2 linked regions of the Ovis aries genome follow. The protein of the gene in region 1 interacts with the protein of each later gene in a pairwise test. Links are inferred from orthologs where the notes say so. Each region holds a gene or a part of one and is shown in the gene's direction. Other genes may lie near its edges.

The links. The genes of interacting proteins can lie anywhere in the genome.
Region 2: the proteins of CLK3 (region 1) and 2'-5'-oligoadenylate synthase 2 interact in binary tests that used the Homo sapiens proteins (3 or more experiments, as listed by UniProt). The two-hybrid records come from large-scale screens. The link is inferred for Ovis aries from reciprocal best matches to the Homo sapiens genes CLK3 and OAS2.

What each region holds. Positions count from the first base shown.
Region 1 is NC_056071.1:31,714,184-31,717,517, reverse strand, and holds part of CLK3 (dual specificity protein kinase CLK3), read left to right. Parts: intron 1-187; coding exon 188-304; intron 305-912; coding exon 913-1,079; intron 1,080-2,291; coding exon 2,292-2,386; intron 2,387-2,482; coding exon 2,483-2,612; intron 2,613-2,861; coding exon 2,862-2,944; intron 2,945-3,334. UniProt on the Homo sapiens protein: Dual specificity kinase acting on both serine/threonine and tyrosine-containing substrates. Phosphorylates serine- and arginine-rich (SR) proteins of the spliceosomal complex.
Region 2 is NC_056070.1:61,444,567-61,449,722, reverse strand, and holds the start of 2'-5'-oligoadenylate synthase 2, read left to right. Parts: upstream 1-1,912; 5' UTR 1,913-1,944; coding exon 1,945-2,121; intron 2,122-3,474; exon of another isoform or gene 3,475-3,551; intron 3,552-3,908; coding exon 3,909-4,185; intron 4,186-5,156.

The sequences.
Region 1 (3,334 bases):
CGTATTGCACAGGTAGAGGTCTGGAGTTGTGTGGGGCAGGCTGGGCATCAAGAGTCTGCTGTCTTCAGGGCAGCCTTGTTCCTGGAGTCCTAAGTAGCATTTGCCAGGAGTCGCTGGGTTGGGGTGGAGGGTGGGGGAAGGGCTGCATACCTTTTCATGAGGACTGCTGCTTCCTTCCCCGGTCCAGAGGGAAGTCTCAGGTTGCCCTGAAGATCATCCGCAACGTAGGCAAGTACCGGGAGGCCGCCCGGCTAGAAATCAACGTTCTCAAGAAGATCAAGGAGAAGGACAAAGAGAACAAGTTGTGAGTGTCGGCAGGAAATGGGTGGGAAGCTTCCTAGGGGTCAGTGTGTGTCCGGTCCAGTGGCCCAGACCCACTGGGACTGAGCAGTGTCTTTTGCCGGGTTGGCACCATGCCTTCTCCCAACAGCCAGAGCAAGGGGAGTCCGGTGAGTGAGTCTTGCTGGAAGGAACATCTGGGTTTCAGTCTAAGCTCCACTGCAACCAGCTCTCTGTTCTGAGGTGGCCTCCTTGCCCTGCATTTGTGAATTAGAGGCTTCACTGGGTTGTGGTGGGCATTAGACAAGATATAAACCCAAAACTGTTCAGGGTGCTCATGTAGTCAGAGATATCCGAAGGAGCACACAGACACGGAGCGTTCCCCTCCGCTAAGCACTGTGCTGAGCCCTGCAGACTCAGGAAGCTCGGCAGAGGGCACTTGTCCTGTGGAGTGGCCTGGTTATGCCATCTCTCTCTGAGAGCAGGGACTGTGCCCATAGTTTTCTCTTTGTGAATCTGCATCCTGTCTGTGACCCAGCATCCTGGGAGGGAGTGGGGACTGTCTTCACCTGAGGAAGCAGGTGGGCAGCCAGCCCCCAGCACAGACCCTGAGCCCCATCCGTCCTTCTCCAGCCTGTGCGTCTTGATGTCTGACTGGTTCAACTTCCACGGTCACATGTGCATCGCCTTTGAGCTCCTGGGCAAGAACACCTTTGAGTTCCTAAAGGAGAATAACTTCCAGCCTTACCCTCTACCACATGTCCGGCACATGGCCTACCAGCTCTGCCACGCCCTTAGATGTAAGTTCCCACCTCAAGTGGAGCAGGGGGAGCCTCCTGTCTGCAGCAGAGGCACCTGGTGGCCCTGCCCTCCCATCAGGTGCTCCAACACATTGCTGACTGTTCTGCTGGGCCCGAGACACTAGGGCCCCTTTGGTTGAAAGGCCTCCAAGTAGGAATCTGTGACGACGGAGAGGCTGCAGTCCCCTCCAGGGGCCTGCGGAGCTGGCCTCTGACCCCAGGCTCTCCGGAAGAGAAGGGAGAGAGCTGCTCTAGGATTAGCCCCGTACCATCCCCATGCCTACCTTCCTGCATAAGATGAAGAGGTCGCAGACTGACCTGGTAGATCCCACCCACAGATCCTGTCACACAGACACCATGTCTCACCATCATTTCCCGTCTGTCCGCCAGTCTCTTAAGGTGGTACCTGTGCTCAGTGCTGCAGGATTTGTAGTGGTTGAAACAGGTTGGAAAGGCTCACTGGAGAGAAGGTGGCTAGACCTAGAGCTAGACTAGCAGGGTCTGCATAGATGGCGGGACTGGGGAGAGCGTTCCAAGCCAGGTGAGCCACCCAGCGCTGGCACAGAGCCTGGCATGTGCTGCAGCTCACTGTGGTGAAGAGAGGGCCCATGTAAAGAGAGACGGGCTACACTGTCGGGGGGGTCGAGTGCCAGATGGAAAAAGTGATGAATGGCAGGGTACAACCATCGGTGGGACAGGGTTGGAGGGAAAAGGCAGACGTCCCCCTGCTCGGGGATGAGGGGAGAAAGGCAGGACTGGCTTCATTGTTTCATAGGGAGCCCTGTGCTTGGTTTAATGCTCTCCTACTACTATCTTTAGATTCTAAGTAACTTTTGAATAAGGAGACCTACATTTTCATTTTGCCTTGGGCCTTGCAAATTATGTAGCAGGTGCTTGGGAGAGGGAACCACCCCAAGACTGATCCTGCAGCTTTGGTGAGAGACCTGGTCCCCTGCAGACAGATGGAAGGAGGTTTTCTAAATGGAAGGCATCTCCCCTGCCCCCTCAAGAATTAGAACCCTCTGAGTTCATAAGTACAGAGAACCCTTGAGAGGGAAGCCCTGGCAGAGGCAGTGTGCCACTGCTGGGGTTAGGGGCTGAGGGCTCCAGCAGGCTGGCTCTGGAGGAGGGAGCTGGCCTAGCGCTGGCAGGCGGGCCAGAGAGGAAGCCCAGGTTTTCAGTGTCTGCTTCCCTCCTCTCCTGCTCCCCCAGTTCTACATGAGAACCAACTGACCCACACAGACTTGAAGCCAGAGAACATCCTATTTGTGAATTCTGAGTTTGAAACCCTCTACAATGAGCACAAGGTATTTATTGGTGGGGTAAAGATTGAGGCCCTGTTCTAGGAGTCGGTTACCTACCAGTGCAGACTTCTGACCTGGCTCCCCTTCCCTGCCCTTCAGAGCTGTGAGGAGAAGTCAGTGAAGAACACCAGCATCCGAGTGGCTGACTTCGGCAGTGCTACCTTTGACCATGAGCATCACACGACCATCGTGGCCACCCGTCACTATCGTCCACCTGAGGTGATCCTTGGTGAGTGACTGCAGCTCCGAGCCCAATAGAGCAGGCACTGTTTGGCAAGCTATGAAAACAGGGAGTGTGGTGCTTGTCCACACCTGGAGCCATGGCTTGAGTCTCTGTGGTTGTTGACTTGGTCTTAAGAAAGGGACTTCTACTGGGTTTGGGCCAGGAGTCTTGCCAGACAGCGTGGTAGCTGCCCTGTGACCTCTAGGCTGGGAGCACAGAGCTGAGTCTCATAGCCCACCCCATCTTGGCTTTCAGAGCTGGGCTGGGCACAGCCCTGCGATGTCTGGAGCATCGGCTGCATTCTCTTTGAGTACTACCGGGGCTTCACACTCTTCCAGGTAAGGCCTCTCCCTCATCACCCCTCAACCCTAAGCTGCAGAGGCCTGGTGTGGGAGGGACCCCCACCCACCCATCAGCATGCTGTGAGATTAGACTCCTGAGGGTTGTAGGTGCTTGGGAAGGAAGAGGTCAGTCAGGGTAGCTGGAACACTCAGGGACTCCTGCAGTCAGTCATCAGGGACGGAGAACTGGGGTGGGAGGAGTGTTCCAGGCAAGGGGCACAGCGTGAGTGAGGGCATGGAGGTGGGCCGGGGCAGGGCACTTTCTGGGGAGAGGGAGGAACTAGCCAGAATGAGTCCTCATGCAGCACACTGGAAGGGTCGAGAAGTCACCCTGAGGGAAGAGGCTGGCTTCCTCCCTGGTCCCAGGCTGCCACCACATCAGAAGGG
Region 2 (5,156 bases), on another chromosome or scaffold:
CATCACCCTGAATTCTTGCTTTCCTCCAACAGACATGTGTTCAAACAACCCCTCCTAACTTCCTCTTTTTTCTCTATAATGCAATATTCCTCTTCTTCCTTGGCTGGACTTGCCTATGGCTTTTTGCTATTGCCTGCTTGTCCTAAATTGAAATTCTTTACTGTTCCCAAACAAACCCATTTTGTTGGTAAAACAATCGTTGCTTTACTTTTGAGGTTAATAGAACCAATTGGTTTTATAAATCTAGATTTAGGGAAAAATTTGTTTTAAGGAATTGGCTGTGCCATTGAAGGGGCCAGTGAGTCCAAATTCTGCAGGGTAGGGTGGCCAGGATAGCTGGAAACAGAAAGAAGTATCTGCTTGTGGAATTGCCTCCTCCTCAGGGAGAGATCAGACCTTTTTCTTTTCATCCCTTCACCTGATTGGATGAGGCCCATCCACATTAGAGTGAATAATCTGCTTTCCCCAAAGTTTACAAATGGTGATCTCATCTTAAAAGTATATTGCAAAAAAAAAAAAAAAAATTCTAGAAGCATGTTTGACCAAATATCTGAGTACCTTGGTCATAGTCAAGTTGACATACGAAACTAGTCATCACAGGACTTTCCTGGTGGCCCAGTGGTTAAGAATCTGCCTGCCGATACAGAGGACAGAAGTTCAACCTCTGGTCACATGCCACAGAGGACAGAAGTTCAACCCACATGCCACAGAACAACTAAGCCCTGTGTGCCATGACTGCTGAGCCTGCATACCCTGGAGCCCGAACTCTGCAGCAAGAGAAGTCACGGTAATAAGAAGCCCGTGTACCCCGGCTGGAGAGTAGCCTCCACTCGCTGCACCTATAAAATGCCCGCTGACAGCAATGAAGACCCAGCGCAGCCAAAAACTACAGATAAGTAATCGCCATTTGAAAGATAATAATAACAAAATCAATCATCACAGCAGAGAAAGGGGGTCTGTTCCTGTCCCACCTTGGAGATGTTTGCCTTCTGCGTTACAGAGGGAGCCAGTGGGAGCTGCCCAGGAGTTTCGTTCTCATGGTCCTGGGCACAAGAGTTGGACTCCTGTCTCCTCCCTGGCCTGTGTGCTCCTGGGCATGTTTTCCTTCCTTGCTGGGGGTGGTTAAATGCTCGATGAAACCTGGCAGGTGTTCATGTGTGTGCTGAGGGACTGGGCACCCAGAAGCAGGCCTCTGGGGACCTGGGTTTGCTCAGGGGCAGAACTAAATTCCAAGTGGCTGAACCCTTGCCTTGCTGTGTGTCCCGAAACAAGTCAGGGCCCTCTCTGGTCTCTTCTCCTCACTGTTATCATCAACTCTGAATTCCCAAACCATTGGGAACAGGGGAAAGAGGAAGGAGCCTCAAAAGATGACCTCTGGGAAAATGATTTTTTACATTATATATATATATATGTAAATATAACTGAATCAGTTTGCTGAACTCCTGAAAACTAACACAATATTTTAAATCAGCTATACTTCAATTATTAAAAAAAAAAAAAACCACCTCTGGCCCCCTATGAAATTACTTGCTTTACAAACACTTTACAGCACTAGCCGTATACCAGGTCCTGTTCTAAGCACTTTGCAAGTATTTTAATCTTTGTATTAAGCCTGTGAGATAGGTACCACTGTTACCCCCATTTTACAGATGGGGAGATCAAGGTACAAAAAGGGCTGGCAGTGTGCTCAAAGACACAGACCTAACCCATATCAAGCCCTCATAATCCAGCTCAAGGGGCCATGTTTTTAACTACAAGCCTCCCTTGAGAGCAGCAGACAGGCTGGGGGCGAGGCCTGGGTTGGGCCAGAAGACTCTGAGTTTCCTTTTCCCCTGGTGTGAGTTTCGGTTTTCTCCCCTCTCCTCCCCCTGCACACAGAAGTTCCTTATTCTCCTCAGCCTCCCGCTCTGCCACTAGCTGTCATCTCAGCAGCCAGTCAGAGCCATGGGCAGCTGGGAGTCCCATCTCTATGAACAGCCTTCTGAGAAACTGGAGGAGTTTATCCAGAACTACCTGAGGCCCTCTGAAGACTGTCAGAAAGACATCGACCAGTCAGTGGACACCATCTGTGCAGTCCTGCAGGAACCCTGCCAGCCCCTCACCGTGACAGGGGTGGCCAAAGTGAGTAGATGGCTGGAGTCAGTGCTTCTGGGACCCAGGAGGCAGAAGGACGTGGTGCTGAGCACCTGCTGTGCTCTGGGCCCTGGGCGCGCAAGAATCACCTTGCCTAAGCCCATACTTGAGTGACATGATGGAACGGGGTGTAGAGTTTAGGGGTACAGGTTGGGAGAGCGCTGATTCTGCCCCTTACTGCTGTGTGACCCGGGGTAGGTTGCTTAACCTCTCTGTGCCTCAGTGTCCGAATGTGTAAAATGCGAGGGGAATAATAGTCAGTGCCAAGTGTTAAGAGGCTTAAACACAGAATGTTCTGGCAAGAACTTGGTACAAAGCCGCAGCAGTAAATTAGCTGTGGTTACTTATGTCATTTTTATCCTCCCCATTTTACAGATGAGTAAACTGGGCCTACAAGAGTTCAATAAAACTATTCAAGGATGTTCTGTGATTTCTCAACACTGAGGAGATGGGAAGCCTCATCAGTTAGACATGTTTGGTGCTCTGGCACAAACCCTAGGGTGGAGGCTGAAGATTCTAGAATTTTGAGAAAGAAATGATGCTGGGAAGCTGCCAGGACCCTAGGGTGGGGAGGGGATTATGTATGCCCGGCCCCACCCCCGTGCCCTTCAGCACCAGAATCGCACTTCTCCGCAGCCACGTGCTTTCTGGCCTCCGCCCTTACACACACCCACTAGCCCTAGGAGTAGACACCTGGACACATGGTGTCTCTACATGGTGTCTCCTGTCTTGGCCCAGATAAGGAAAATGAAGCGTGGGGAAGTTATCATTTGTTGGTATTCGACCTGGGATTTTAAGCTCAGGTAATCTATTTGGAAGGCCTTCCCTGGTGGCTCCATGGTAAAGAATCCACACTGAGGTGCAGGAGGCATGAGTTCGATCCCTGGGTCAGGAAGATCCCCTGGAGAAGGAAATGGCAGCCCACTCCAGTATTCTTGCCTGGGAAATCCCGTGGACAGAGGAGCCTGATGGGCAACAGTGGGTGGGGTTGCAGAATTGGATACGACTGAGCGACTAAAGGGGCTTCCCTAGTGACTAAACAATGGCGACAATTTGGGAGCGTGCACCCTTAACCACTGTGCAGTCCTACCTCTCAAATTTGTTAACTTTTTTCTCAGTAAAAAAAATATGTACAACAAGTGCACAGATCTGTGTACAGCTTGATGGATTGCCACAGACATACATGTGTGACCTATACCCAGATCAAGAAATAAAAGTTTCCCAGCCCCTACCCAAGAGTCCCTGGGTCCCTTGTCCAGTCATTACCCTCAACCCCAGCCAACCACTCTCCTGACTTCTAACAGCATAGATTAGTTTTGCCTGTTTTTAAACTTCGTATAGAGTGACCAACCTTCCGGGTTTGTCTGCGACTGAAGGGTTTTCTGGGACATGGACGTCTCGGGGCTAAAACTGAGCAGGTTGGTCTCCCTGTCTAAAAGGCATCGTGCGCTGCGCGGCTTTAACGTGTGGGCTTTGTTTTCGACGCATCGGTCGATGAAGCGCACGTCGTTGCGTGCAGCTGTTGTTTTCTCATTTTGTTGTTGCCGTGCATTCCGTTGTGTCTGCTCTCCTGCTGATGGTCATCCAAGTTGCCTTCTGTTTGGGGCTTGTGGGGGAAATGTTGCTGTGGGTGTCCTGATTCAGCTCTTTGGGTGGACAGATGAACACCAGACGTGTGGGACTTCTGCTCGAGTTGAGAAATACCTCTGCCTGTTGGGGTGCCCAGTGACCCCAGAGGGTTCAGACTTTCACATCTGCCTCTCTGTTGCTGATAGGGCGGCTCCTATGGCCGGAGAACGGTCTTGAGAGGCAACTCCGATGGTACCCTTGTCGTCTTCTTCCGGGACCTTGAGCAATTCCAGGACCAGGAAAAAAGACAATATGAACTCCTTGGCAAAATCTGGGCACAGATGAAGCACTGTGAGTCCACGCTGAATCTGGCAGCCAAGATGGAGCTCCAGAACACCAATAGGAGCTCCAGGGTCACTGTCCAGCTTTCCACAAAACAGCAGAGCATCACTTTCAACGTGCTGCCTGCCTTCAACCCTCTGGGTGAGCCCTCCTGGGTGTGCAGGGTGGTAGGCAGGGTTGGAGGTGTGGGTCTGGAAGGGCTTGTCAAGAGAACAAAGCCAATGAAAGGGGTGGTGGATAGCATGGGGATGGAATAAATACCACTGAAAGTGAAAAGAAAGTGAAAGTGCTAATCACTCAGTTGTGTCCGATTCTTTGTGACCCCATGGACTGTAACCTGCCAGGCTCCTCTATCCATGGAATTCTCCAGGCAAGAATACTGGAGTGGGTTGCCATTCTCTTCTCCAAGGGATCTTCCCCAGCCAGGGATCAAACCCTCGTCTCCTGCAGTGCAGGCGTGTTCTTTACTGTTCTTTACTGTTCTTTACTTTAAGCTGCCAGGGAAGACTTTCAAGAGAGAAGACCTCTCCTACCTTGAGCATACTCTGGTCTTTAGGACCTCTCCTTTAACTCCTAACTGATTTTGGAGGAAATGTTCTAGACTCTAGAACCTAGAGTTCCTCAAACTGTGATATGCACACAAATCCCCTGAGAAACTTATTAAAATGATGGCTCTGATTCAAGAGATTGGGGTCCAGAATTCTGTATTTTCAACCAGCTTCATGGTGGTTGCTGCCTTTCTGCGGACCACAGTGAAGATGTAAACTAGAATAAACTTTGGCCAGAGGTAGAGGATGGGGAAAACCTCTGAGAAAAGTTCAGCTAGAGCAGGTTTGCAGTTGCCCTCTAATCATCAAGGCAAGGATCTTCCATGGGCAACAGTTTGAATGGATCAATGGTTGGATGGAAGGATGGTTGACTGGATGGATGGATGGATGGATGGATGGATAGATGGTTGACTGGATGAATGGATGAGAGGATGGTTGACTGGATGGATGGATGGATGGATGGATGGATGAATGGATGAATGGATGAATGGATGAGAGGATGGTTGACTGGGTGGATGGATGGATGGATGAGAAGATGGTTGACTGGGTGGATGGATGGATGGT